2 linked regions of the Coturnix japonica genome follow. The protein of the gene in region 1 interacts with the protein of each later gene in a pairwise test. Links are inferred from orthologs where the notes say so. Each region holds a gene or a part of one and is shown on either strand. Other genes may lie near its edges.

Evidence for each region.
Region 2: the proteins of SRRM4 (region 1) and ZRSR2 interact in binary tests that used the Homo sapiens proteins (3 or more experiments, as listed by UniProt). The link is inferred for Coturnix japonica from reciprocal best matches to the Homo sapiens genes SRRM4 and ZRSR2.

Annotation. Positions count from the first base shown.
Region 1 is NC_029530.1:8,640,886-8,656,263, reverse strand, and holds part of SRRM4 (serine/arginine repetitive matrix protein 4), read left to right. Parts: intron 1-5,576; coding exon 5,577-5,720; intron 5,721-7,064; coding exon 7,065-7,148; intron 7,149-7,411; coding exon 7,412-7,483; intron 7,484-8,218; coding exon 8,219-8,245; intron 8,246-8,794; coding exon 8,795-8,845; intron 8,846-11,323; coding exon 11,324-11,416; intron 11,417-12,325; coding exon 12,326-12,476; intron 12,477-15,378. UniProt on the Homo sapiens protein: Splicing factor specifically required for neural cell differentiation.
Region 2 is NC_029516.1:109,796,556-109,811,933, reverse strand, and holds the end of ZRSR2 (U2 small nuclear ribonucleoprotein auxiliary factor 35 kDa subunit-related protein 2), read left to right. Parts: intron 1-372; coding exon 373-488; intron 489-4,231; coding exon 4,232-4,445; intron 4,446-6,248; coding exon 6,249-6,304; intron 6,305-6,494; coding exon 6,495-6,604; intron 6,605-7,239; coding exon 7,240-7,721; 3' UTR 7,722-10,642; downstream 10,643-15,378. Other genes in the region: AP1S2 (AP-1 complex subunit sigma-2), read right to left, coding at 14,495-14,542, 15,374-15,378. UniProt on the Homo sapiens protein: Pre-mRNA-binding protein required for splicing of both U2- and U12-type introns. Selectively interacts with the 3'-splice site of U2- and U12-type pre-mRNAs and promotes different steps in U2 and U12 intron splicing.

The sequences.
Region 1 (15,378 bases):
CCACCAGCTCCCCTCCACGGATAAGCTGAAAGTGCTGACAAACACTGGGTGTGTAAAAATAGCATATTTTTTTCCTTTTTTTTTTCACAAGTGCCTTCCCTGCTTGTGCAGCAGGGACTGCAAGGAGAGCTTAAAGATCTGGAAGTGGGAACAAACTCTATTAAAAGAGAGAAAGGTGCTGGGGAATGCGCTGCAGTCCCTGAGCTGTTCTTGCCCTTTTCTAGCTCAGGGGGACTGAGCTGAAATTGGTCTTTTGGAGCAGAGTTGGGTTGAAAATGGCCTCTTTTGGGGGAGAGTTTGGCTGAAATTGGCTTGTTTGGGGGTAAGAGGGCTTGCTCAGGGGCTGAAACAGTCCCTGAGTCCCCATCCCAAGGCTGGGGCTAATTGATCTGCAGACAACCCCGTTCAACACTCCATGTTTAATTGATGTCTCTCCATTGATGATATGAGCAGCTGGCTACAGCTGGTCCAGCTCCAGGCTGGTCAGCAGGACCATGGGCACGGGGGTCAGTGCTGCTCCTCCAGGCTCACTCCGTTTGCTGCCCCCATCCCCACTTCCCATTCCTTCTCCAAAGCCCCATTTTGGCTCTCAGCTATGTTCATTGTGGAGCAGAGGACGGGGCTCCCTTTGTTGTTCATGGTGCAGAAGTAGCAGAGCCAGCACCCTGCTCACCCTCCCCATCACTCCACTATCGATTTGCCCTGACCTCACTTTACCATGCTCTGATTTCTTTCAATCAGGCTTTGAATGAAGCCTCTATGCCGTTCAATAGAACCAGCCCTGGGATGACCCAACTGGAGGTGCATGGAGTGCTCCTGCTCCCCCCCCAGAGCATCTGCTGGTGATGCAGTGGCACAGGCTGCCCAGGGAGTGGTGGGGTCACCATCCCTGGAGGTGTTCAAGGAAAGCACAGATGTTGCATTGAGTGATGTGGTCTGGAGCAATCACGGCATGGATTAAGGTTGGACCAGATGACCTCAGCGACCTTTTGAACCTTAATGATTCTGTGATCCCTTGTGTCCCATGTCCTACAGCATAAACCCACCTCTTCCAGGCTGCTGCCTGTCCCCTTTGCCCCAAACCTGAGCATCCCATCATCCACCCACAAAAGCCTTCCCCAGTCTCCTTGGTGGCTGTCCCCTCCTCGGGGCTGCATTTGCTCAGTGTCAAGTTGGTTCCGGCAGGCTGATGGGCACAGCGCTTGTTTGCAGAGATTGCACAGAGCAGAAATCCCTGCACTTCATCTCCAGCTGCAATTACCAAAGCCAAGTCGATGCAGTTGATGGTAATGGGATGGTAACACTGTCTGAATTTGTATTTAATGCTGATTCCAAGGGTCTATAATTTTCATCAGCACCACGCGACTTTTTATAGAACAGAAAAAATGTGAGAGTGGTTAATGAGCTGTAATTCTGGAGAGCTTCTGCCTTGATTGGGACTAATTATTTTCTTTATAAAAATAATTAACAACCCACACAACCTATGGAGTGAAAGGCATGTGGCATTAATTAAACCTTGTGGTGTTTCCAGCTCACCTTTATCAGCGGATCCTGTCGTGTCCTGGGCATGCAGGTGGGCTTTGGTGCCAAGGGACAGCAAGGGGACATCGGGACCACCCTGAGCCCAAATTCATCTCTTTCTGCAGTGCCCCGAGAGCCTGGAATGAGCCCCAGGTGGATGGGGAGCATGTCTGTGTGCTTAGCCGCTCTCTTACATAATATACAATTGTTAACAAGACTAATTCCTCTATTTTCCTGGAGGTATGCTGAGAACTAATGAATATATTTGCATAATCTTGATTTTGTTTATGAATAATTCTGGATTATCCCGTTGTGAATGGCACGGGGGCTTTGCCGCTCCGGGTTGCCTTTCAGCTGAGGATAGCAAAGCGTTTTGCAAATATTAGTTCAGCCTCACAAATCCCAGCAAGCAATAAAATTATTATTACACCCAATTAAAGATGTATGTGCAGAGCATGGGAACGACTGTCTGCAGCCTCAGGAACGGGAGCCCAGGGCTGGACCTTCCCCTCAGGAGCCTCTCGCCACCTCCCTGCCTGGACTGGGAGTCTATCTGGTGGGAGAGATTTGTTGCTAAGTTCCTTATTGGAGACAGAAGGGGAATAAGCTTTGTCTGAGCACCAAAGGGAACACTCCTGCTCCGTGTGGAGCATCCCCTGACAGACTTCCCTGTGCTCCCCTGAGCCCTGCTAAGAGCCATGCTCAAAGCCATCTCCCATCACTCCTGACAAGTGTGTGCTCACAATCCGCGATTCAATTAGAAGTTAACGAGCTATGTTATTGGCAAATAAACTATTTATCTTGCTGCCATTTGCCCTGCTCAACAGAGCAGGACTTTGGGCAAGGGAATTGCAGTGAGGACCCACAGCCCTTCCTGGTGCGGGAATGGGAGCTGGTTGACATCACTGTCACCTTTCCAGGTGTGGGAACCTGCAGGGTGTTTGCCAGGGAGGGAGATTTAGGAACAGGAGAGGCAAAGGGCTGCTCCCTGAAAGGAACATCTTGGGGAGGAGGACACCCGAAGGCAGGGTCCTCATCAGGACTGGAGCACTAAGCTATGGGGGGGACATCTGCCCCAGTGCTGCCAGCAGCTGCCTGCAGCGGGAGTTTATGATGGAGATGGAGCCACTCCTATCTCTGTGCCCATTATCATCCCCATTCCCAACCCTTTCCTCATCCCATCCTCAATCCTCTCCCCATTCTGAACGCTGCTGCCATCCTCATTGCTTCACTATCCCCATCCCATTTCCATCCTCATCCCAATCCCATCCTTGCCCCATTTGATTCTCATCTCCATCCCCATCCCACCCTCATCTCTTTACCATCCCCATCCCTAAGCCCATCCCCAAACCCCATCCTATCCCTATCCCTGGGCTGTGACCATGCAGTGTCCTCGGAGCACCTGGCACCAGCCCTGCCACCGGTGGGAACCCACCTCTGTTCTTACACAGCCATGCATAGCAAATCAGTTGCCGGAAAAAATGAAGAGACGAGCTGCTTTTTTGGCCCAGGTTGTGATAAGAAAGGTCGTGAAACATTTCTGGAGGCCAAGAAGCAAAAAGGAGCTGCTGCTGGGCTTGGGCTTGCAGCAGGATGCAAGGGTGTGAGAGGGGGGTGAGCCACAGAGGCAAAAATTGGATGAAAAATGCCTATTATGGAATTGTGTTTCTTTTCTGTGCTTAAGCTGCTTCAAGAAAGCCACGCGCTTTTCTGCAGCTGGTGCCTCTGCTGATGCACGAGGAAACAGTGGAGAGAAGATTAAAATTGAACTGGCTCAGGATCCGTGCAATCAGGGAGAATATCGCGGTGATTTGCTATTATAATTTCCAATAACAAACGACAGGGCTCCTGCTGCACTAATAACAGCGGTCTGGATGAGGCGGGGAAGGAACCTGCCGTGCGGTTGGTTCTGTGGCTGTGTTTGTGGAAAGCACTTACAACCTCCCCCACCTCGTAATTTTAAAGAAGTATTTTTAGAGCCTGTTTCAAAGGGATTTACGTAAACACATCTGCATGAGTTTTGGCGTGGAAATCTCTTTACAACCTTCTCCTTTCCCCCCCTCCTTCTGCCGGGTCAACCATTTTCTTTTTTCAATCAACTGAGAAGAGGCAGAAAGCAAGAGAGAAAGGAAAGGGTGATTTCACCAGTGCAGAAAGCCTCCTCTGCACAGAGGGATGTGTTCTGAGAGGAGTGTGGCACAGCCACAGCGGGTGTGGGACAGCGGGGTCCCAGGGCTGTGGGTGTGCATGTCTTTGTGCTGGTGATGCACTGGCACTGCTGTCCAGGGAGTGGTGGGGTCACCAACCTTGGAGCTGTTCGAGTAATGTGGAGATGTGGCAGTGAGGGATGCGGTTATGGGCATGGTGGGGTGGGTTGGGCTTAAGGCTTGAGGATCTGAGAGGTCTTTCTCAACCTTCGTGACTCCATGACTATGATTCTGTGCACCCAACTCTGCTTGTGCCCTCCAAACAAGGTTCACCAGGAAGGCAGTTTTTCAGCTTCTCAGTCCTCCAGCGATGAGGAGCTGCAGGAGAAAGGCCGTTTGATGAGAGCTTTGTGGCAGGAGATGGCTCAGGGACTCAGGAGCCTGAGGACAGGGGAGGGGATTGTGTCACCCAGCGCTGCATCTCATGGTCTGATGGCATGGCATGTGCCCATGGTGATGTGCACAGTGATGGGTACACGGCCACGGTTTGCTCCCAAGGCAGCAAACACTCTGTGCCTTTGCCCTGTCCTCCGTGCCTCTCCCAGCTGTCATGGCCCAGCCCATGAAAGATGACAAAAAATATATATATGTTTGAATCTCTCTGTTCAATCGATGTCTGTAGAGCTTAACACAAAGGGATTACCAGCCCGTTTAGAGCGTTAGTGACTCTCAGCTTTCACCAGAGGAGAGTATTGGGTTGAACTGAAGCCAGCCTTTGATGGGATTGGAGAATAATTATTTCCATCAATAATTACTTCCAAGCCCAGAAGAAATGGTCCCCAGCGTGTTGCAGGACAGCAGCCCTTGGTTGCCTTCAGGCTAATGTGTTTCAACGGCGGGACCTGAAATGCCATTAGTGGGGACATCACCCACTGTGCCCAGGGAGAGCCCCCATCCGCACCACTGGAGCTGCTCCAGCTTTGCACAGGTCATTAATTTGGGGACATTTTTAATGGATCCTAATGACTGAGCCTCCAAAGACTGTTCTTAAAAGGGGGTTGGGAAATGCCACAAGCTAATTAGTTCGCAAAAAGTAAGTGATTAACCATGTAGCTTCCTGGATGATTAAAAATAACATGGATGATGGGAAAAGACTGGGAAATTTTTTACAAGCAGAGTAATAGATTGTAAAGATGGAGGGACCATTGGATCTGCCAGCATCACCTGTGTGGGAAATATTTCCTCCAGCTTCATCCCACTGACCCCCAGCATATGTGTTTGCCTAATGTTCATCCCTAAACCTTCAGGCGTTGCAATCTGTGCTCCAAGAAAGAAAGGGCTGTTGGATAAGGTGGGGATTTCCTGAGAACATGGGTGGAAATAGGAATTAAGTCTCTTTGACTTTGACAGATGCTTCTGCACCAGCTCCAGCCCCCAGAACTGTGATTCTCATGACTGGGACAGGCAGAAAGTTCCCAGGGGCTGCAAGCCTCTGGCCACGGCTAGCTGGGGCTGATGTGCTGCTTCCCCATGGAACTGCACTTTAGCTTCCCTCCTGGCATCACTGAACCCCCAAGATGTGCACCACTCCTGATCCTGGCCCTGCAGCCCACATTTGGTGGCTGTGATGGTCTCTAAAGACCAAATGCCTGGCCAGGCTTGGCCTTGTTGATACTTCCTTTATTTCTTTATATAATACTCTGCGTGGCACCAAAAATGTGGTGTTCTCAGTGCCGCACTGGGTATGGTTTATGGCTTTCCATCAATGCTTCCATTCTCTGAAACAAATATCTGCAGGGCTCTACTCAATGTGGGCTCCCTGGGGCTCATGCAGGCACCTGCATGGCTCAGGTGGTTCCCTTTGTTTTCTTGCTCTCTTATTGCTCTTTCTGGCCTCTTGCCATGCAGTGGGACGCTCAGCTGCCTGCCATACTCTGCCGAGGATCGGCGTCCTGAGAAGCTGAGCAGCTGTGTGTCCAAGGAGACCTCCACCACCAATGGCTGGGCAAGAGGGAAGGAGAGACGCAACCCTGCTCTGCACAGGTCACGCAGGTAGGGACAGAACCACCCCACCGTGAGGTTCATCATCCCCATCCCTGCTGAGGCTGTTAGATCTGGTCAGGGGTTGGGGCACATTGGGTTCCCCTCTGGCTGTGGATCACCCTCAGCAGTTCCCATCACCCACACTGAGATCAGAGCAGCAGCATTGCCCTAACTAGGATATCGCTTTGTTATCTGTGCACTGTTAGCCCCTGACAACTTGCAAGGGTAAAAATGAACGAAGCTTGCTAAGCAAGGCAGCTGGGGTCTCAGCCTTTGCTGCTGAACTGGGATTTAAGGCCTTTCTGCTTGGAAAGAAAGAGACAGAAAGTGCATTTACTATCTTCAGATGTCAGGCTAACCGGAACAGTAATCTAAAGTGTATTTTTAATTAGACTCTGATTACAATCACAGAGGAACAATTAAAGTTAGATCAGCTCAGGGAGGAGGCTTCCACTTCAAAGACAAAAGGCTTCATCTTGGGAGCAGGGGGAGGGCTCCAGGCAGGCTGCCTATAGCTGAGCACACAGCCTGGAGGTTCTTCATGCCCTGGCACAGACATGGCAGGGGATGATGATGGAGAACGAGATGAGGACGGGGCTGAGCTATGCTGGAGCCCACATCCCTGTGAGGATGGCTTTTCAACCACGAGGTCCTGATGGTGGCAGCTGCAGCCAGTGGGATGAGCAGTGGGGATGCTGAGGCATGGATCCTGTGCTCTAGTTTCCATCATTCACTGCCTTTTTTTAGGGTCACCAACCCTCATTCATTTCACATTTCCAGCCCAGTGCTCCAAATTCATTAACTGCCGTTTGCTTTTTGCTGAAACATAGCACAATTTAAAAAGAAATTAATAGACAGTTCCCCCCCCACTCCAAGTTTAACCGCTGTGTAAGAGATGCTTATCTCACTAAATCACCGTAGCATGTCAATAAATAGATATTTTTTCTAATCAATTGCTATTTAACATTTGCCATGTCTCCCATTACCATTAGATTCACTCGGTCTCAATAATTATTGTATGCAAATCAAATGCCAATTAATTATTTAAAACATATTTACAAAGCAGCGAAACCCATAAATCTGTCATGGAGTTGTTAACCTCAGCAAGCTCATTTCAAATAACCAGCTGGCGTCGCAGCCACGTACAGTGTCTGCCTCATTATATCTCCATTAAACCCACGGAGGAGGCACTTAATTTCAAGTGAGGGTAATTAGAGGGTAATTAGGTGCCCTGATCTGTCCTGGTTGGCCCTCAGGTAGGGATGGTGGCACGTGGAGGTGGGCAACCCCAAGTGAGGTCATTCCGATGGTGCTTTTATCAGTTTATTTTACAGTCTTGTTTGGCTTCTGCAGCCCATCGTGTGATGGTGAACGTGCACCACCGCCGGCCCGGGGGAAGAAGAAGAAGAAGAAATCCAGCCGCAAGAAGCGACGGAGGTGAGGGTGGCCATGTTGGCCTGGGCCTTGCCTCATGGGGAAGTGCATCCTGCAGCCCCTGGTGCATGAAGGAACAAAACGGGTATAAAACAGAGGTGTGAGGGGCTGGGGATCTGTTGGCCATCCTCTCATCCTCCCCTTATGCCCAGAACATGGCTCAGCCTCAGCTCTGCCTGAGCCCCAAGGCCTGGTGGTGGGGTTCAGGGTGGGCAGCCCTGGGGGTGAAGGGCTGTGCTGGCCCTGATGCCTCTCTGCTCCCTCAGGTCTCCTTCCTACAGCCCCTCGCCTGTGAAGAAGAAGAAAAAGAAGAGCTCCAAGAAACGAAAAAGAAACAGGTATTTCTCCTGTGGAAGCGTTGCGGGGAAGCATCAGGTTCTGAAAGCTGGTTTTTAATTTAAAGAGAGTGATAAAATTTTGGAATTGCAAATATTTCACTGTTTTCTCTCAGCTGTTAAACCAATATTTGCAGAGAACAGTGGATGCCATCTCCCTGGGAGAGTTCGTGTATTTATAATTTATTGAATGAGAGCAAGAAGCTACCAAAAGTGGTGAACAGAGTGAAAAGCAGCGCTTATTTCTTATGGGAAAAGGTGGAAGGGGGGGAGAATTGAAGGAGATAGAAATACCTGTAAAATATATCCTTTCGGAGAGCAGGTTCTTATGCTATGCTATATTTGGCACCTCCTGGTATCCATCTCAGGTCAGATGCTCATCATTTTTACACCTGTCGTACCCATTTGTGCCCCTGCAAGATGAACTATAGGCTTATGGTTCATCCCAGAAGGGAGCGTGATCAACCACTGTGTGTTAGTGACCAATGGAGGTCATTTTGAGATCCCACTCAACTACAGATCCCAACTGGCCTTGCCTTGAGCCATCTCACAGCCATTCTAGACAGGACTTCATGCTGGGTGCTCTATGGGATACTGTGCTAGGAGCTCAGATGGGACACATCTGGTGCACTGTGTCCTTAGTGCTCAGCCTCAAGATGGACTTTACCAGATTGTGTCAGATTCAGACTTCCAGTTTTGTAAGACGCTGTACTCAGTGTGCACCTTTGTGTCTTGCAGGTTATCCTCAAAGAAGAGAAGACACAGGTAAGAGCTGAGCACGTGTGGGTTGATCCCTTAGAAACGGTCTCCTCAGGATCTCACAAGGTTGATGTTCATGGTGCGGAGCCACTTCTATGACTCTTTGTGGAATCCCCTGGGTCCCCCCATCCCCTGTGGGTCTCACAACCTTGTCCACGTTGGACACTTTCTGAATCTTGAGCTTTCATTCTTCCTATGGTTTCACCTACAAACAGCACACATCCCCCAGCAGTGAGGAAATATTCCAACCCAGTGCCTTTCCAGGTGCATGCTGGAAGAACTCTTCGGATTCCAGTGCATGTATCTTCTCTATGGGAAAGTGTAAAGCCAGAAGGTTGGCTGATCCCACAGGCACTGTGTCCCAGCCAATGAACCAGGTTTCTCAGCAGGAGCTGAGACCCCCTGTGTCGAGTCAGAAACATTCAGCCCTTCAATTTTTTAATTGCATGTTTTTGGGCAGTTTAGCTGTAATGTTGATGTGTGATCGTGCGATATATTGATATTTATTTTAATCAGAACAGAAATCTCCAAATTAATTAGCCATTTCTTATTTAGTTCCTCAAGCCCCAAAAGTAAGAGAAAGGAAGAAAGAAAACACAAAAAACAGTAAGTAGTGATTCACAATATTCTCTGCCCTGCCAGTTGTGAGCAGAAGGTCCAGCTCTTCTGATGAAGGCAGTAGTAGACCCAGCTCTGCACAATGGTGTACTCTCACTGACAGGGGCTTTAGCTCTTCTTTGTTTGCTGCTTGCAGAGGTTATACAGGGACTGCTTGTGATATAACCAAATATCCAAATGGGAGCAGAAAGCAATGGGGGCTGGGGAAAAGAAGGGGTTGTTTAGAGGTGATGGAAACTATTGAAATAGGGAGCTGAGGTTCCCATCTGCTCTGATGTGTGCAGAAGACAAGCACAATGTTTGTCTTAAGGAGCAGACATGAGCATGGCATGAGACATGGTTCTTTGGGGACAGGAGGAGAGGCTGTAATACTTCCATTTTGCAACCTGTGGCTTCTCACCTGCTTTCAGAGCACAGAAGCAGTTCTGGGGCTGAAGCCTGGCTATCACACCCCTGGCTGGCCCTGCTGGGACTCAGCATACCCTGTTAGGGAAAGGAGATGAGCTGGCAGACCAGGATTTGCTGTCTATTTGGCGTTAGCATGACCTGTCCTGTAATTCTTCCCAGCACAACCTTTATTCTTAGGAAGGGAACAGAAGGACAAGAGCCCCTAGCACTGCTAGTGTCACCCTGCTGCCCATTGGGACTAGAATCCACAAGGTGCTACCTCCACCTCTATTGCATGCAGAAATCCCATCTCCTTTTCTCTGCATTTCTGCGTGTTCTCACCATTTTCTTCCTGCAAACTGAGCTGCTGTGTGCCCAGAAATCCTATAGATCACTGATAAAGCTGAGACTTCCTTGATTATCTGTATTAGAAGGCACCTTCCACTCACAACAGTATTGGCCAGCCTGCATTAGCCTAGCAGCGTGGTTAGAACAGAGACTGGGTGCAGTAGTGCATTGACAGAGGGGAATGAGAGCTTCTGGGGTTGCTCTTTGGGGATGAACCCCCCCAGGGCTCCTTAGTCTTCATCTTTCAACTTAGAAATCAGAACTGAAGCTCCTGGCTTCGTCAAGCCTCCCCGTTGCTCCCATAAGCCAACCTGAATCAGGGTTTGGCTTATCCGTGGGTTGAACAACTTGTTATCTAAACTGCATGGGAGCAGTTTGTCCTTCCTGAACATGGGGGAAAAGCTCTTAAACTGGAGGGACTGATACAGAAGGTGAAGAAAAAGCATGCAAGGAGGGAGAGGCAGTCAGTGCTGCTGACTTCAACTATGCAGAAGGAAGGAAGCTCCCCAAATGTGAAATGCTGGAAATCCAATCATAGTGTATAAACAGCATCAGAGAAGACAGCCAAGCAGAGTTCAAGCAATTGCCCTCATTGTTGCCCTTTTGTTTTGGAGGAGATGCTGTGCTCAGGCAGTTGGTTCACTGATTTTTTATGGTGCCACATTGCTAAATGCTGTCCAGGCAGGTATGTTAACGGTGTCAGTGACTGGTACAGCATGGCCATGAAACCAGATTGTTCCTGTCAACTAACCCATCATCAGGTTTGCATGCTGGCACAGCAGTGCCAGGCTGAGCAGATGGTTACACGCCAGACCCAAAATAGCTGCTGAGGTGGGCACTGGGCATGACAAGAAGGAACAAGCACAGAAGGTTTCAGAGCCTGCCACTCACATAACCCTGCTCCCCGAGTGCAGGACTGGGGCTTTTGGCAAGGACAGGCCCAGCCCTTCGGTTATGGGGCCAAGTCCAACTGTAACAACCCAAATAGAGCAAGGGGAAAAGCAGCAGGACAGTGAACCTGTGTCTGTGTGCAGTTTGCTGGTCCCTGTCCTGTAGCCATGTAAGAGAATGGAGTGGCAGCAACTGGGCACCTATGAGAAGTCAAATAAATGGTCCTGTCCCCTCAAGCAGAAATCGTGCACAGCATAGGCTGCAGTTATGGAGGCTGTCTCATGTTTATTACAACAGTAAGAGCAGATTATAGGACTGGCTGGACCCTCTTATCTTGAGAAGGTGGGGAAAGCTGATACCCAGTATCCTGTATTATGGGGAGTCTGGGATGGTTTGAGTTTGGCATTGGGCTGCCCAGACAGATGGTGCTCCCCAAACAGGGCTTAGCATTGGGCTGTCATGGTGGGCTGCAGGATGAGGGGGGAGTGGGTGACATAGCTCTGCTGGGTCTTTAAAGAAGAAAGGATTGGTGCTGCCTGCTGCTCTCCTGTGCACTTGTCCATAGATCTTCCAGCAGGGCGCAGAGGCAACCTAACAGCTTGTAGCTAAATGCTAGCATAGATCTCAGTAAGATGACATGTCTTGATGTCAGGGCAGCCGTGAAGGGATGGAGAATTTTTCACGCCTTTGTGTCCTTTGCAATGTTTCACGCCCCAATCCCTTTGCTTTAAAATGCTGATCTTGTTTCTGATGTAAGTGCCGTTGCCTTTGGCCTCCAACTGTTGGGTCTTACAGCCTGGGTCTGCTGTCTAACCACAGTTTCTTTTCTGCTTCCCAAAGCTCTCGTGGGCGCACCCGGAAAGCTCACCGCCACCGCCGCTGCCACTCTCGCTCAGAGAGCTCTGACTCCTATTCCCCGAGCTGCAGGAGCAGGTAATGTCACCACTCACAGGACTGGCTGCCCTGCAGCACTGCAGTGGATCAGGGTAGTGACTGCAGTGTCTTGTGTGCCCTGCTGACCCTCTGGGCAGAGCCATGTCCCACTCTGGCAGTTGGGAGTTGAGCTTCTTGTGGTCACAGCCATAAAACAGAGGGTTTGGGCTCAAGAAGTGGTAGCTGCATCTTCTCAGCCCAACAGTCACTTCTGATCCCCATGGCTGATGATCAGCCAGTGACAGCTGACTTCAGCCCAGTCTGCCTTCCCCAGCCCAGGGCTCTGTACTGCCAATGTCCGAGGAAAGCTTCAAGCTTGTTCTTAGCAATGGAAATGTATTTGCCAATGGCATCCTATGGCCACTATCTGTGACCTGATTAAAATCTCTTTCCTGTAGATGACAGATGCATCCCGAGGCCAGCTGAGTGGATGCTGGTGCAAGACCCGCATCACTGCCATAGCAAATTGAATAGCTATGCACATTGTGAGCTTGTTATGTGCTGTTTTAAAGAGCTTTATGAACAAACCACTCCCTCTGACCCACTCCACTTAGAAAACTACTGAGAAACTTCTCATGGAAACTTGGCGATCAGTGCAGGGAGGAACACAACCAGTAGTAGGTGGGAAGTTCATGCAGGCGCAGTGTCTTCTCTTGGAGGTATATTGCCATAGGGATATTCAAGGCTGCGTGGAAGCTGTGAGCCACTGTAAAATTAGGAACTGGAGATGAAATTAAAACCCAAAACCCACCACGCATCTCCTGGCTGCAAACTAAAATGCTTTTAAAGCAAAATATTCCCTTTCTTTCCACCCTGACTCCACAGAGAAGGCAAGGGTTTGCATGCAGCTGCTGGTGGGCACTGCTGCAATGCTGAGGATAACACTTTGCTTCTGCATGTTTTCTGGAGGCGCAGAGCCAGGTCTCGGGAGGAAGGGCGTAAAGCACGGCGGAGACGCTCCCAGCACCATGCAAAAGTCCCAGCAAAGAGAAGCTCCTCTGCAGAGGTTCAGGCCAGCCAAACCCTCCCACTGCACAGCTTCCTGTCTTCTAAGGAAGTCGTAAGTATTACACAATGTGCTTCTTTGCTTTCAGTAGCCATGGGAATATGGGTGAGAAGTCTGCCATGTAATTTTTATAACTCGATTATAGCGATGTTAGACGAAGTCTGGTTAAAGCAGCATTACTTATTAATGGTGCTGTTCTCCAGATGTATTTAAAGTCATTCCTTCCTTCAGCACTTCCTCCTCAAGAGTGGGGTTGGAGAGGGGAAAGGTTTGCCGAGTCTCTAGCCTCTGAATAATGAATTGAGGACAAAAAAAAAAAGAAAAGATTAAAACCTGTGGCCTTCAGCGATGATATTTCACAGGGATGTGTTTGTTATGCAGTCTTTGCTCAGCTGAACATGGACTTAATTCATCGGTCTTCATGTCCGAAAGTTTAGTCCTTCAGGGGTAAAAAAGGGAATCAGACGTATATAAAGGAAATATTTGCATTTAGTGAGTTGGTGATTATTGGCAGGGGATGTTTTCTATTGGGATCCTTCTGAGATCACTGTTGCTCTGGACTGACAAGCCCAGGGGCCAACTTGAGAGCTTGTGTGCAGCTCTCGTTGATGCTAATGGGAACTGCATGTGCAGCCGAGGGTAAAGTCAGTCTCAGTGCCTTGGGATGTTTTTCCATATACATGGGAAGAGACGATATAATGCGTGCCTTAGAACAGAGGGAGCAAAAATGGAGAGAAATCTTAGATAGCGACTGGTATGAAATCTTTGTTTCCCATGGAACATTTCCTCCTTGTTCCCAGTAGCTGCCAAGCAGAGGTGTGATGCTCTTTGATCAGCGTTAGTATCTGATGGGTGTTCTGGAGAGGGGCAGTTCTACATAAGACTTGAGGTAGTACAGGACCTGGTGCTTGTGTGTGGATACGGAATGCTACCAGCGGCTTGTGTGGAGTCCTCTGAGCCCTGAAGTGGAATATAGTGGGGGACTGACTTTTTCCCCTTAAGCCCAGTCTTCAACTGGAAATAGCTGAGCCATACTGCAGATAGAGGAGATAGTCCCAGCAAGAGGAGGCGCCTTCTCTGCTCACCTGCACAGCTGGCATTTCAGTCACTGTACACACAGATCGTATATGGATACAGACAGACACAAGCCGTCTCCCAGAGTCATAGACATATATTTACTCCTGTCATATACACCTACTGAGTGTGTAGTGCACAAATGAGTCATTGCTTATAAAGCCATGTAAGGCAGAGCACGAGTAGCAGAACCTGCATGCTGTGCTTACGTGTGTGTCCTTACAGCAGCACATGCAAAGAAAGGACAAGCTGCAGAGCTTTCATTGCCATCGGCCTGGGGTGTTTCCTTGTGTCAACTCAGCAAAGGTCAGCGTGAGTTAATAACACAAAGAAACCAATGGCAAAAAGACCTCACTTCTGCAGTCAATTGGTGTCCTCTTTCTTCCCAGGAAGCAGTACGCTCTCCTGGGACACTGTTCAAGAGCACATTTATGTACTTGTTTAAATTGAATGCCCCGGTAAAGTGCTGAATAAGGTCTTTAAATATCATGTACTCAGAACCAGCAGGGAAAAATAGAGTGGGAGCTTTCAGTCTTGTCTGCTAATGCCACACATTCTCTGTGCCACAACCCCTGGCCTGGGCTTCCAACCCAAACCCTCCTGACCTGAGGAGATTCACCGTGATATCTCCAAAGGAAAGTGATGGTCCGGGGAGTGCTCTGACACACAGATGACACCCAGACAGGCAAGACACAGACTTCCTCCAGGTAATGCTACAGCATTTCCAAGTCTGTTTTAAAAATTATTTAACTTTAGGCCAGATTTTGTTCTATTTTCTTCTGAAAAGTGGAAGCATTCTGTGGGTTGTCTCCAGGCATTTTGTCCCTTCTTTTCTATCGGAATGATCACATCCAGCTCAGCTTACCTGCAGTCTGAGGGATGAGGCACACAGAATTGCTCCCTGTCCATGCATCCACCTCGCTGCTTCTTCCCCTCTTGCCTTTATGTGCAAGTTGGCGCATGCATGAGCATGCACACAAGCAAAAACACCCCAGAGCTCCCTGCTCCTTTTGAGCAATGAATTTCCAAGCTTCACACACACATTTTTTCCTTTAATCACACGCAGCCACAATAGGCACCTGTTGAGAAAGAGGATTGTGAGGCTGTGCCTCAGCATGCAGAGGAACTGGTAATACGCTGCTGCTATATCTGAACATTAACAGCAACCCCCCGTCCTGCTGCAGACACTGTTCCGCATTTGTACGGATATATTCCATGCCCTTGTGCTTCTGGTTGAGCAGAGCAATATAAGTAACTGCAGGGTGTGAGCTTAATTGCCTTTTGTTGTACCTGATGAAGATAACTGCACACCGCATCTACCTTCCCTGCCAGCTCCTTTGCTTTCACTGAAGCTCGTTTGCAATGTCACTAATTAACACAGGTTTGACCCAAATTTTCAGGGAGGCTCAGTGGGGTCTGGTTGTTCCAAGCAGCAGTACTTGTGCTGGTGTGCCTGCAGGGAGGTACAGGTGGGACAATACAGTGCAGGGATGGGGACAGTGTGTGCTGGGGGGCTGGGGGAGGCTGATAGCATGCCTGCAGGCCGCATTGCTCTTGCTCTCTGTTTTCCAGCCTGGGTTGTGGTTTTTATAGGAAAAGCTGCTCTTTTAACTGCTGCACGCCGTGTTTCTGATGACAAACAGGGCTCTTCAGGAGCTGGAAGGCAAAGCCTTTCCTAAACATGAAAGCCTCTCTCTTTTGCTGTTCCTCCCAGCCAGAGGACTGAATGTACCTCTGGTTATCACCTGATAAATTTGCAGCTCAGTGCTCAAGCAGAGGCAGGAGAGTGTGCAGCCATGGGGGGACCAAGCAGCTCCCCGGATACCCAAAGGAGGCAACACAATGCGAACCCTCATCCCAAAGCTGTGCCAGACCAGCCCAA
Region 2 (15,378 bases), on another chromosome or scaffold:
TTGTTTTTAATTCTGGTTACAGAATTACAGGTTACTTTTATATGAGCGTTTCCTAACTGCATAAAAAGTGACAGCGATAAAATTACTGAGCTTTGAGCTGTTGCAAAGGCAGGCAAGTAAGTAGTCCTGTATTTTTATCTGCCAGATGTAAAAAGTGCTGCTCAGTGCATACTGGCATGAAGTACCAGACAGGCTTAGCTGAATGGGAAGAGCCTGTCAAAATATTCATTATTCTTGTGGATTCCAAATGAAATAGTTGACCGAGGAGCAAATTATTACTACAGTTCTTTGGGTTATGAAATCTTAAGAAACTTTGTTTAGCAGAAGAAAACATTTCTTAATTTTGTTTCAATGCTTTTTCTTTTTCCACAGCTGGAGAATGGTGTGACCTGGCATAACCCAGAGCCCCCGGAGAATATAGGAACAGAGAAGGATAGAGCAAATTGCCCGTTTTATATCAAAACAGGTTCCTGCCGATTTGGAGACAGGTAATCAATTGAATATTACCAGCACATGAATTTTTTTGAGTGGTGGAAGGCAGCTTCATTAGCTTGTGAGCAAACTGAAAAGAATCTTGATCTTGCTTTATAAAGGATGCCTTTTCTGTGAGGCACTTGTCTCTAGGGTAAGCACATTCCATGCCAAAGCAAGGGATTGCCTCAGCGATTGAGGGAGCCATTAACCTTCCCCTATCGGCAGCGCTCTGATGTGGTGAGGGTGGAGCTGGGAGAAGTGGGGTCACCCCCCCGTGGATACAAAAGGGCTGATCACCTTAGAAAGTACAACCAAGGACTCAAGTCATGACTGGTGCCACTAAAACAGGCGAAGGAGATTCTTTGCTGTGAGGCACTGAGGCATCCATCTACCACCTGGATTACCTCTCTAGACTAGAGGTTTGCTGCTTTCTGGGAACCACATCTGGGACACCAAGAAGAAGATAATAGATATTATAAAGTCGATTGACTGCTACCGCCTGCTCGTCTTTCAAGCTGGGTTGCATGAGGCTGTGATCAGGAAATTAAAAAAATATCAAAGAAGACGTTATGTCAGTTGGAAGGATATTGAAGGGATGAGGAATGCAGGTAGTGTTCTCCTTAGTCCTGCCAGATGGAGACTGGGATCTGGGAGAAGGAGGAGAACGGATCAGTTGAATGACTGGCTGCATGGATGGTGTCATGCTGAAGGCTATGGGTTCTATGATCTAGGACACACCTTTGACAAACCAGGAATGTTGATATGGGATGGGACACAACTGACCAGGAGGGGCAAGAATATACCTGGCAACAAGCTGGCTGGGTTCATCACCGGGGTTTTAAACTAGTGCTATGGGAGTGGGTGTACTACTGAGTGACAGATAGCCAGGGAACACTGTTACTTTAGGAAGCAGTGGGGGAAGACCTCGGATTTGACCAAGGTGTTTGTGGGAGGGGTCCTCTAGGAAGGTAATATGTCTGAAAGCCCAACCAAAGTGCCTCTATACCAGTGCATGCAGCATAGGAAGTAAGCAACTGGATGATATGCATCCCATAGTTCTAAGGATGCTGGCTGATGTGGTTGCTGAGCCACTCCATCATATTTGAAAAGGCATGGCAGTAGTCAGAGTCCCTGGTGACTGGAAAAAGGGAAACATCACTCCCATTTATAAGAGGAGGAAGGAGGACCCAGGGAACTACAGGTTGTTGAGCTTCACCTCTATGCCTGGGAAGATCATGGAACAGATCCTCCTGGAAGACATGTTAAAGCACATGAGCAAGTGATTCAAGACAGCCAGCTTGGCTTCACCAAGGGAAGGTTGTGCCTGTCCAATCTGGTGACCTTCTGTGATGGAGTAATGGCATTGGTGGACAAAGTGAAGGCAACTGATGGCATCTACTTTAACTTGTACAAGACCTTTGACATGGTCCTTCACCACGTCATTATCTCTAAATTGAAGAGATATAGATTTGAAAGGTGGACTGTTTGCTGGATAAGGAATTTTTGCTGCAAGGTTGCAGACAGGGTTGTGGTCAATGGTTCTGTGTCCAGGTGGAGGCTGGTGACGAGTGGTGTCCCACAGGCATCTGTGTTGGGACTGGTACTCTTTAACATTTTGATCAATCACATAGATGATGGGATCAACTGCACCCTCAGCAGGATTGCTGATGACACCAAGCTGGGCAGTACCATTGATACAGCAGGAGAAAGAGATGCCATCTGGAAGGACCTTGATACACTTGGAAGGGGGGCCCATGTGAACCAAATGATGTTCAACAAAGTGAAGTGCAAAGTTTTGCACCTGGGTCTGAGTAATCCCAGGGATGTATACAGACTGGGAGAAGAACTTGAGTGAAGCCCTGTGGAGGAGGACATAGCGATCTTCTAGATGCAAAATTTAATATGAGCCAGTAGTGTGCACTTGCAGCCCAGAAGGCCAACAGTATCCTGGGCTGTATCAGAAGAGGGGTGGCCAGCAGGGAGAGGGAGGTGATTGTTCCCCTCCTAATTTCTGAGTCCCCTTCTGGAGTACTGTGTCCAGGTCTGGGACCCCCATCACATAAAGGATGTGGAACTCTTGGAGAGGGTCTAGAGGAGGGCCGCAAAGATGACCAGGAGGCTGGAGGACCTCTCCTATGAAGATAGACTGAAGGAGCTGGATGTGCTCAGTGGAGAAAAGAAGGCTGCGGGGAGACCTCACTATGGCCTTCTTGTATTTAAGGACAGATTATAAACAGGAAGGAAATATACTTTTTGCACAGGTAGATAGTGATGGGACAAGGAAGAATGGTTTTAAACTAAAGGAGAGAAGTTTTGCATTATATCTCAGGGGGAAGTTTTACGAGAGTGGCGAGGTGCTGGAATTTGTTGCCCAGAGAGGTTGTGGATGCCTCATCCCTGGAGGTGTTCAAGGCCAGGTTGGTTGGGGCTTTGAGTAGCTTGATCTAGTGCTTGATCTAGCAGTTGGGAACCCTGACAGTGGCGAGGGGATTGGAACTTGATGAGGTCTCTTCCAACCCAAGCCATTCTATGATTTTATGATAAATTACTTCTATTTATTTGGGTGGGTTTCTGTTTTTCATGATGGAACTAGACAAAACCATTGCCTGGCTGGAATTGAAGCAATGTTACAGTTGATACTGTAATACATGTAATACAATGCTGTTGATACTGATGATACATTCTGGTTCTGTTGGTTAAAGTGATTTCTACTTTAGCTCTGGCTAATGTATTTGGGCAGAATACAATTGATTTCTGCTTTTAGTGAAAGCCTGGCGTGTCAGATGGTGTTTTTCATCTTGATTAGCTTACATATGCTGCATCTTTGAAAAATAAAATAAAAGCATGTAGTCTCCAGAATTCTCTTCTTTGTCTACTGTTAAATCTGTGATACTTTCATTCTTGATTCCTGTATATTACTGTGGGTGCTTTGTATTGGAAAAGTGGTAAAAGGCAAGAACACAGAAGGACAATAAGGTGATCAAAAATGAAGAACAGCTTTGGCAGGAGGAGTGGCTAACTAGCCTAGACATTTCACTTTCAAAGAGATAATGGAAGAAGGCTCTAATAACTAGACATTTTGTTTGAACATGAGTCAGCAGGACTGCAATTGCTGGTTTCAAGACCTGGTCTCCCCCCCCCAGTTTTTCTGTTGCTTTGCCACTGCTAAATATGAGAGTAGACTAGTCTTGACAGTCGTTCTGATCACATCATAGAAAGGAGAAGCATGCTGGGGAGCATCTGATCCACTTAGTCTGTGAGGTGTTTGAAACAGCAATCATAAAGCATGCTGAAGTAAACATGGAGTCTACCATCCGTGATCTTAGCGAATCTAAAGGTCTGTGGGGGAGAACTGAATTTCAGCATGGGAGGGAGGTAGCCTGAAGATGATGCACAGTGAGGGAGATCCAGTACTTATGTAGCTGCCAAGAAGATGCAGACTTTAGATAGGGCTTGTTTGTAGTAAGCTCTCTAAGTGGAAAAAGTCAGTCTCATCCAACTATGAGTCTAGACATGCCTTTGTTTTGGCACCCCTCTCACCTCTTCACAATCTCTTCTTCCCCATGTGTTGAGAACACCACCAGTAAAAGTCCTCCCTCCTAAAGATCTGTCTTAATACTTGAAATACATTGATATTCTGCTAGTGAATTTTTATTTTTGTACTAACTCTTTCAAAATGGTGAGTGTTCGAAGTTTCAACAAGTGCATCTTCTGTCAAAAGTGCAAATATTTTTCTTCCTTCTCTACTATCATCCAGGTGTTCCCGTAAGCATAACTATCCTACATCTAGTAAGACACTGCTTGTGCGAGGGATGTTCATTACTTTTGGCATGGAGCAGTGTCGAAGGGATGACTACGACACCGATGCAAGCCTCGAGTACAGTGACGAGGAGACCTATCAACAGTTCCTAGAGTTCTACGAGGACGTGCTCCCTGAGTTTCAGAATGTGGGGAAGGTTGTTCAATTCAAGGTATGCATACGAGTGTAACAGCTTGTAAATTCTGAACATATACCGCGTCAGCTGTGTTTTACTAGCCTTTAGGGAATTCAGTGCAGTATGGTCTAGGTAAATCCCATGTACTTCAGAGGATCTATATTGTGTCTGCTCTCAACTGTACATCTTTCATGACACCTGTAAACTTCTCAGTGCTTCTGCAGAGCATTCTGGGTGAATCTTCTCTCCCATTCTCTTGAGTTGTTATAAAACTTGTGCTTTTATACTGCCAGATATTCATACAGAATAAGAGTCCATGTAACTCATAATCCCTTCTCTGTTTAGCCTGTGATAAGCCCAGGGGGCCTGTGAATTAAGACTGTTACATGACGTAAAGATGTATGGGCTGTTATTGCTACTTATTGTCACTGTGCAACTTAGAACTATGCTGAAGGAAAGATGATAACTCATTTGGAGTATGCGCCCAAGCAGTGTCATTGTAGAACTGAAGCAATAAACTCAACAATGAAGTTAAAAGGTAGTATATACTTCAGTAGCAAGAATTACTTTGAACTGGCCATCTTGTAAAGATGCTATTTAAATGGTGTTGAGGTTTGTCATCCACCCTTAATTTCTGTATCTGGTTTCTGGATACATATATACATATATATTTTCCCCTTATAAAGATTATGATTTCTAATGAGGAAAAATGAGGGACTTGTAAGTATAGACCTCGAGATGAATGATGCCTTGTTGCACTAAAATGTACAGCTCGGATGGTAGAATCTCCTTGTAACAGAACTTAGCGAAGCATCCCTTTTTGCTTGCCATTGCCAAGTGATTTTCTGTAGTGACCAGGAGGCATGAAGTGCCTTTTCTCTTTTTGTTTCCCTGTATTGACAACTGCCTCAGGACAGAGATTATACTAGCATCTCAAGCAAGAGGAAAGTTAAGTAAAATCAGTGAATTCTCAGTCACCTTTCTAAGAAACCTTCACTTATTTGGATGAGAATCCACTCCCACGTCCCCATACTTTGACTCAAGGGTCAAAGTCTTACCATCAAACTCACATCCTTAAGGTAGTAGTATCTTGGTTGTGTTACATGCAGCTATCTGCTGCGTTGCATGTATTTGGGTCCTTGTAGCTAATCATGAGGTAAGAGCTTCTAGTCAAGGCTTTCTTAGCATTTGAAGCAATTGTGCAACTCTAATTTGATTTTTTGGAGGCGTTCTTGTTTTATTAGAGGTGCTTAGAAATTATGTGTTGACAGCCAGAATCTCAACTGTGGTTGAGTCTCTGCTACCATTTACACTCATGTAACGCACATCCCTCTTTCAACTGACTTCCATTTCCAACATGGCCTAAGGTTTTATTCTTACTGTTTTTTCTGGGAAGCTAGTCCAGAATCTGGCAGGTCTTGACAAGACACGCTTCTTCTCTTTTCCCACCCAAACATGCCTATCATGATGTCGTTCTTACTTGTTCTTGCATTGACATTGTTACTTATCTTGAATAGGATGACTGTATTTGGTTGTTGTGGAGTAGGGTTGACCCAGACTTCTTCAGTGTAAGACAACTGAGTACAAGCTGCCTTGTAGGCTGGAACAGAGGTCACAGTGTCAATCAGAGCAAAATGCTGGAAACATACAAAAATAAAGCAGAAGATCTTTTTGTTTTCTAAACCTTGTATTTGACTAAAACTGTGTTCAGAAGAAACTAATGTGCAAATTCACGCTGATGTGCTGTCATAAATTGGAATGGCTGCCAATTCAACGCGTGTGAGTTGCTGTATAGCATGAGCCTTCCACTGCCCTAATGTAATGTTTCAATCTCCTTAGGTCAGCTGCAACTATGAGCCTCACCTACGAGGAAATGTGTACGTCCAGTATCAGACGTGAGTATTCAGTCTTACCAAGTTGCAGAACTAAACTGCAGAGTCCAGTAATGAAAACGGTGTAATCCAAATGATTTATTCTCATACTGTAATGAGATCTTAAAACTGGGAAATAACATCCGAAACGATTGTACAGCAATAACACTGCATGTTTGGTTATGTGGGTTGTTGTTTTTTTTCCTTTTTAAAGGGAAAAGGACTGTCAGGCAGCTCTTGCTCTGTTCAGTGGCCGATGGTACGCAGGCCGGCAGCTTCATTGTGAATTTTGTCCTGTGACAAGGTGGAAGACTGCAATTTGTGGTGAGTTGCATAAACACTCAGGAAATAGAACGTGTGTTATTGAAAGTTTGCTTAGAAGTGAAAAAAATAGGAGTTAAGTGGTTGCTTTGATTCACCCACTGCTTCAGTTCACGTTAATTTCTTTTTCAAAGACAAATACGCTTATTTGCTTGTGTAGATTTAGGAAGGAAAGGGAATATCTCTGTCATATGACGTATGCGTTCATATCATCCTGGTAGATTTGCCATGTACTGGAAAAGAAAATTTGGATCCCAGCTTTCAGAATAATAACAGTCATAAGGTGGAAGTGCAGAAAATAGCAGTTTATCTCTTTCAAAAGCAACAATAGTGTCTCAACCATCAGCAGTTATTATTGCACTTGACTTCGCTCCATGTACATTCTTTGACAGCTTAGGCTAATAAAAGTATTTATAAAATTGTTTCAAGCTAAAGCATAAAAAGCCATCTTAAACATATGTTAAAAAGTTAATTCCAAGAAAAGTACACATAGAAGTAATCTTGGGTAAAATAGGTGCTCATGTACATGTTTTTCTGTTCATAGAAGCAAAATTCAGTTCAATAAGTTTCTTTCCATTAAGTACATAATGCAGTTTTAACAGGTCTGGTTCATAAAAAGCACCCCATATCTGTTGCAGGCTTATTTGAAAGGCAGAAGTGTCCAAGAGGGAAACACTGCAACTTTCTTCATGTATTCAAAAATCCAAACAATGAGTTCTGGGAGGCCAATAGAGACATACGTGTTTCTCCAGAACGGACTAATCAGTTATCTAAAAACTCTGAAAGGAGAAACAGATCGAGCCATCGTGATGACTATTATGGCCGATCAAGGAGAAGGGGCAGTCCAAGCCCAGATCATTCTTACCGGAGAAATGGGGAATCTGAGAGAAAAAAGAATCGCCGCAAAAGCAAGAAAAGGCGCCGGTCTGGCAGGTCAAGAAGTCGAGAAAGGAGGAGGTCACGCAGCAGAGGGAGAAAGAGGAGAGGACGCAGTCGGAGCAGAAGTTACAGTCGAACACGCAGTCGGAGCAGAAGTCGGAGTTCCTCTCGATCCAGGAGTAGGGGCAAAAAGAGGTCAAGCAGCAGAGGAAGAAACAGTGAAACTCCCAAAACAAAGTGAGAAATAATTTTAAGAAATTGCTAACTGATCAAAATGTAGAGCTGACAAAGAAACCTTTCCAATAGGGCACCAGATACATTTGAGTTACAAATAAAGTGTTCTTGCACATTAAAACGTTTCTTCCGAATAAAGGACCCTAGTTTACTGTGTGCTAAGCTTCAGAAAATTAAAAGTCCTATATAAGGTGTAAATGTCAAGTACTCTAGCTACTCTGTCCCTCTGAACTACTGCAACATTTGGATGCATACTGAGTACAAAATAGAAAGAAGTAAAGCTTTTTTGGTATATGCTTATGCCCGTGTTATGTGTGTGTTAAGTGTTTACTGTCCCTGTAAGGAGTTAGTACAGAACAGCTAGTGTGCTGTAAATCCGCACAACAGCATACTGCAAACTGAAGACTGTGTAAAAGAGAGCCATTTATGTTTACCAAATGTTTATGGGAATTTTCTTTCTAGACAAAGTAATATAATCATCTTATGCTTGGAGAAAAGGGATCTAAAAAGACTTCACAGTTTGATTGTACAATAGTTGCCCAGTAGGAGCTTTGTGGTCGTAAGTGTTGGATTTTTCTCTCCCATGACTGAGCTGCTGAGCTAATTGCCTGTAGGGATTGCAGTAGACTAAAACCAAGTAGGAAGAACAGAAAAAATAAACAATCAACTTATTTAGTACCTTAATCCCCAAGTAAGAGAGGAGACCACACACTTGTAATCCTGGAGTGAAAACAGAAAATAGTTTTCATACCTCTTAGTTGCATGCCATTTGTAGTTGGAAACCTCCTGCTTAACCTGCGGTGGAGCGGTAGGGAGAGTCTAAATCTGGTCACTAAACATGCAAATGAAGTTGTAAAGGCTCAAGATGACTGCAGAGATGTTGCAGAGTGGCTAAAGAAACTGAAAGGTTTATACCTGAAATAATACTTCAGGGTTTTGGATTTTTTTTCCTGAGATGAGGACTTGATTTGAAGCCCTTTTAGGCTTGTATTATAAGCAGTTTAAGGCACCCTACTGCCACTGCAGAGAGTGGGGTACATAAAAATGAAGTTATTACAATGAAGCTTTCTTGAAATGACAGCTGTGTTAGCAAAGTACTTGCAATTAGCACAGTCCTTATAAATATTTCTCTTTTAAATGAAAGATTTAAGCTGTTAAATGGACTCGGTTTATCAGGTGTTTAACTTAGGCACTTATGGCATCTGTGTGTTTGTGGAGAGAGCAGTTTGTGGTATGTAAGGTGCAGCTGCCCTGATCTGTGTGCAGATACCTCCCTCTCTTCAGCCTCTCTAGAGAATTTGGGATTCCTGCCTTCAAGGAGGTAGCTCTAAGTTGTTAGAAGCCCAAAGCAAATGTGAAATGCTCCCAAATAGATATTTGTTATGATTCAATAATACAGCGTAAAGTCCCACCAAAAATCTGGATTTCCAAACTCACTATAGCATTTCTCACAGCATTCTTTTTTTTTCCCAGGACAGTTGAGAGCAGATGAACATTGCTCCTGGTTACAATATATATATTGTAATATATAAATTATTATATATTACAAATTGTTATTGTAATATAAAATTATTTTTCTTAATGCATATAGCACCCAGCATGCTGATGATACCTTTTCTTCTTTCATGTTTAACTGTTGTCCACTATGGAGTCATACAACAAAAGCGCTATATATTGTTGTTCAGTTCAAACCCAGTTTTCACTATATATTATCATAACTGTAGACAGAACGGTAGCTTAGTTAATTTGATTTAGATGTTTTAGTTATTAACAGATGTAGGAACTGTAATTCAATGGCATAACTTTTGAAGTAAAGGTAACTTCACTCGAAAGGCGTATTTCAATGGACAGCACTAAGTTTCAAACTATATGGGAGAAATTTGCGACAACCGGTTTTTTATAATGTATCTTTTCTGACTACACCATGCAGATCTTCCCTGAGTTTTCTATTTTTTTCATGGATGCTCGCTTGTCTAGTTGGGGTACTTATGCAGAGTACAGCAAACTCATGCAGCTAAACTGTCATTTTACTGCTTGCTGAGATGCATCGCTAACAGGCCAGTAAGATCCTCACGCCACTGGCGCTGCCTTGCTTCCTGCAACTGGCATTCTAAAACACACACTCTAGTGTGTTGTATAGCCCATGCCATGCAGCAGGCTGCTGCTGAGGGTTATCTGAAGGAAATAAACTACTAAGCTTGACCAGAAGATAAGGCCGGTGTGGTGGGATGCTGATTTTGTGATATCTGTGACAAGCCGGGTGAAAAAAGTGAAGCTGACCTCTGTAGGATTAGGAACTATGCGCCAACTAAGACCCACGTGAGAATTCCAAGGCTTCTTCTCCCCACATTTTTGTAATGGGATCTGGGAAGTTGAGCGGCTGTATTTAAAAAAAAAAAGTTCTTATAATATTAATAATAAAACTTGCTCAGAGATGCATGTAAAATTTAAATGTACCTTATTTCTGCTACTCTGATGGTCAAACCTTCAGCTTTTTTTCTTGATATCTGGATCCAAACTCCCTGGCTGTACTTGTGTGCTGTAGGACTGATAGCTGTAACTGTTCGGTTTCACATGCTGTCTGCTTATTGCACTGAAACAAATGCTTTAGATCTGACATTTTGCTTGCTTTTGTTAGCATGAAACCTGGAATTCAACCAGTTTTCAGACGTTAAGAGTTCATATAGTTCAATGTTGTTTCCATACTTCATAATCTTAAGTAGTGTCGTATGCATGGTTTTGTTTCCTTATTAGCTAAGTGAGCTATTTACTCTGAACTAAAATTCCTAAACGTTAAGCTTCTTTCTCCAAAGGAGAAAAGCCCGGAACAATGCAGGATGGATTAGATTTGCAAGGAATAGCTTGTTCTCACTTTGTGCTATTCTGCGTGATCCACATAGAAGGACTACATAAAGTGCATTAACAGTTGTCAAGCTTTATTTGTGCTTTTATTTTTTATTTTATTTTTTGAATGACTGCTTAAAGCAGCTGCTTTCAAACTTTATTATGAAGTTTGTAAATATCACTAAAGTGCTTTGGATTGATGATGAAAGCATTATTTACACAAGAGCTGCAAGAAGGGGGTTAGAGCAGCAGCTGGGCCCTCCTGCCAGGGCCTGACAGCTGAGGAGGTCAGGATGGGTAACGGGTGCTGCTCTGACCATTCTCCTATGGAAGAAGTAAGGTACCTGAGCAGGAACTTGAATGTGGAAGTCCAGCTACTTCATAAAATCATCCAACTCCAGGGGCTTACCCCAAAATGTTTCAAGACAGTAAGACAGCAGGTGTCCTGCAGCAGAAGGGAATGCTGCTAAAAGGGAGAAGGAGCTCCCTTAAGCACCAGCAGCATGAATACTTGGTGGCACACAGGCACCTGGGAAGGCAGCATACCTTCAGGTTTGTGCTGGTGACTGCTTTGAAGTCTTTTCCCTTCCCATCATGGTTGCCATGCTTGCTGAGTAGCCATCATCACACAGGTGTCAGGAGGACTCACCCACGCTCACATGATGAATGGAAGGCATCCATTTTCACGAAGAGGCAACAAGCACAGACAAAGGTTTTTCCCTTGCTCATGTAAACGGACAGTCTGAAATGTATTTTAAGTAAGTAACTTCTTCAGCATTACATCATCCTTCAGCAGGATGTCTTTCTCGGATTCAGCTGCGCATTACCACATTCAGTGTATTTATATACCTGTACCAGTAGCATCATCCTTAGGATGAGCAAAGTAATGGCTTTCAGAAGAAATGCAAGAGCCTGCTCAGAGATGTTCTTACTTCCTGCCCTGAATCAGCACTTCTTACAAAATGTGAAAGGCTATGCTAGTCAAAAAATTAAATGATATAAGGAAGTAAATTACACTTATAAAAAGCGCCACTGATTTTGCTTTCACTGTAAGCTTGCTGTAATTAAAATAACTCCCTGTTACTCCATCCATCCTTTTATTCCGCTCTGATGCATCAGCTGAGCGCAGCATCTGTCACCGACATGTAAATAAATAAATAAAAGGTAACTTTGACAAATTACGGTTCAGAAAACTATGAGACGGATTGGAAGGCAAGTTGTACAGGCACAGCCCATGAACACGGTAAGCTGGCAAAGGCAGCCGCAGCGTGACCATCGCTACGGCGTTGACTCAGAAGGAATGGCAGGCAGTTAGGAAGGTCTCTTCAACAAAGATTCCACGATTACACTGAAGACATTCAAGCCAACAATCCTTTACCTAAACAATCTAGAAACTACCAGATGCTTTTCGCTTCTCATTATGCTCGTCTCCTGCTAGGACAGGAAATTCAAGACACAAAACTTCACTTTCACATTAGGTTGAGGAAATGCCCTAGCACACTAAGCTTTCCCCATGCTTTTGCTGGTAATATCAAGTTCAGTTCTTTTAGAAAGCTGGAAATTTCCAGCCAAGAGAAATCTGGGGCTGAACTGAGGATTCTAACATTGTGAGCGTAATTCCACTTGAGGAGCTGGCTAGCGAGTTTGTATCATCTAGAACCCTCTCTCAATCAGTATGTGGTTTGATTTCAAATGAAATGGGACTATGGCATCACTTTACCATCCTTTCTAATAAATTCCATGTTCAGTGTGATAAGCCTTCCAAAGAACTTGCTAATTTATTGCTTTCTGTAGAATTTAAATGGCTGTAAATAACTAATCTTGGACACAGTATTCTCGCACATTTTTTAATAAAGTGCTCCAGAGCAAGTTAAGCACTGTAATAAATTTCCCCTCTTTTTTTCAACTAGCAATGAGTAGCCTTCTTTTTTTTTCCCCCTCTGCAGAAAATCCAAACTAATTACATATAAGCACAAAGCAATGGTGTAAAAATGGACATTTATTACAACTAAACCAATGGGACAGTACGACAAAGGTCAAACAGTTTATTTGTCACAATCACAACAAAGCTTAACCCAGCCAAGCACATACAAGTGACAGTGTAAACTTCAAAAATGCTTCATACACAGGAAATCGCTTCAGGTTTGACTTAAAGTAATTTCACAACATCAGTCTCACACCAAGGGTCCTTCAAACACCACCTGAACCTCATCTATCCCTGCCCTTGTGCACAGGGCTAAAATGCTAACAACTGCTCTTGTGTGCCTTCAGTTCAACATGGTCTCGAGTAATCTGGTATATTTTAATCCCAGAAATGGCTTAAATGGATACATTTGCATGCTGCAAGTTCTTAGGCTCCGCTCTGGAACAGCCACTGAAGCTGCAGTCCCAGACCCAGCCCACCTCTGCCCTTACCATCCCCTTTGCTGCCACCAGCACCTCTACTGGGATCTGGATCAGGAAACAAATGTCAGTGCCAAACTTTTGCTGGTGGGTTACATTTAGTCTAGATTAGATTAAGCCACAGCTGGCTGTGTAACTGCTTGTGCTAGCACCACATGACTGCTTCCAGCGACAATGCCAAAGCTAAGTTTTGTGAAAACACATATGGCGCTACTTGCTTGAATTCTACAGTCAAGTTCCTGGGATGGGAAGAGAAAGAAAGCAAGCTGAGCATTCTCAGGGACCATGCATGCACACAGTAGCACTCTGCTACTCCAAAGCGTGCCACTACCTTCCCAGAACTCAAAAGCATACATCAAAGAAATTTCTTCAAGTGAAACAGTTCTAGCGTACAACTTCTGAGAGGCTGCAAGAAATGGCAAACTCTTATTTCCATTTCACTTTACCCAATTTGCAATGAACGTAGTATACAAAATTCTCACTGCAAATCAGTTGCTTCTACTGCACAGTTTTTAAGGGATGTGTCAACGTGTGAAAGGTGTAAGCCAAGAAAAGTAGTCAAAATAAAGCTGACACTTTTTCTTAAAGGCGCTCATACACCCATTAAAGCGTAACTACAAAACACGAATAAATACAAATTAATTTGTAAAGATCAAAAGAAAATCATAAAAACTCCCTTTTGTAAAGCTCCCATGTTCAAAAGTATCCTATTTTCATTACATACCTCTCTATACAGTCAAAAAGGCTACTTCCTTCTCTTGTGTGTATGGTCAGAGCAAGCCAGTACTGCTTTAAAAATAGTTTCCCTATTTTGATTTTTTTTTTCTTTTTCTTTTTTTTTAAACTACATGCATTCCCTCTTGAATATAGTAACTTGCACAGTTTTGATCAAGATAATTACATGTAAATACACTTTCGCTGCTAGTAAATGATCAGTTTGCAGTTGTCTTGCAAAAAGCAATGCCACCTTAACAGTTTTAACCAGTTGGATATGCAGATCCTAACAGGATTCTTTGGTATAATGGCAAATTCAGAAGTAAACAGTTATTTCCAATTGTAACATGTTAACTGAATAAAAGCAGAATTATCGCAACTACGGACTTAAAAATGCAGATGAACAAAAAGTCTTTGGTTGCATAAACACAATTTCTACAATATTTCATACTTGAAGGTGTCCATGTATTCTTCTCATTTAGATATGCTATGTCTATGATACATTTATTTCCTGAAGTCATTTGCTTATAAAAACAGTACACTCACTGAAATTAAATGCATTATTCTTTTTTTCCTATAAATGCAGTGAGAAGAGACACTGAGTCAATTTAAATCCAATTCCCTTTCATTTGTGATTTTTGGCCTTTAATTTCTTGTTCCCTTTTCAAAGGAGTATTTCCCTTGTAGGCCTGAATGAAGCAGCTTAGCAAAACAGTAATACTGACAAACAGCATCTTACACCATTAGCTAAACATTACAATGAAGGCAGTGAACATTTACAGTATGAAACACTGAGATGTCATCAGCTGAAGTGAAGACTTATGTCAATCCAATTTCTTCAAGTACACTACGTGGGGTCTCTGCTTCCTAAGGAGGGAAAATTTGAGACAGTGGTGAATGGATCCTGCACATCTACTGAACAGTACCATACATGAGAGTTAGTATGAAAGATGCTTAATTAAAGAAGAAAAGTTGAAAGACATGAAAGTATAGAAGCGCTGTGGTTTGCAAACATGGCATTAGCTGCACTTTTCAAAGTGCTGCTAATTAGATTGCCATGGTTCACAGGAATAGCTGGCAGATTTTATTGCCCTGAAGCATAATAAAAAGAAGCAATTCAGATGCACCAGCAGGGATCAAATCACAACCCGGTAATAGAGATATGAACTGGGGGAAGGATGGGGAAGCATCTTGCAATGAAGTTTGTCAGTTATGTTTGTGGTAAATTGTTTCACGGATCTCTGCTAGGGAAGAATGAACAAACGGACGAATGAAATGACCCATGCTACTTAGATACAGTATCCCTCATGCTTTTTATGAAGAGCAAAGACTTTTTATGCTGGCCCCATGCTTTATTTACACAAGACCAAGTCAAGATACCTTGGTACCGCTGGTACCAATAAACTGATCAGGGTGGAGAAATTGGCAGGATTGAAATTGAATTCTCCTACACCCAGTAGAATACCAAATTTTACATTAATTCTAGTCTTAGTCTTGTTTATAGTCAGAGCAAGTTTCATACACAATTCCAGAGAGTTATCATCAGTTTTGTATTCATTAAATTCATAAATTAAATTCGTTTAAAAAAAGTACTTTGATACCTTAGATATTAACAATATAATTGTAAATAAAAAAAGGGATACTGTGTCTTTACGGAAACGTAAGTAGTTTTAATATCCAGAGTATGAATAAACTTACTTTAG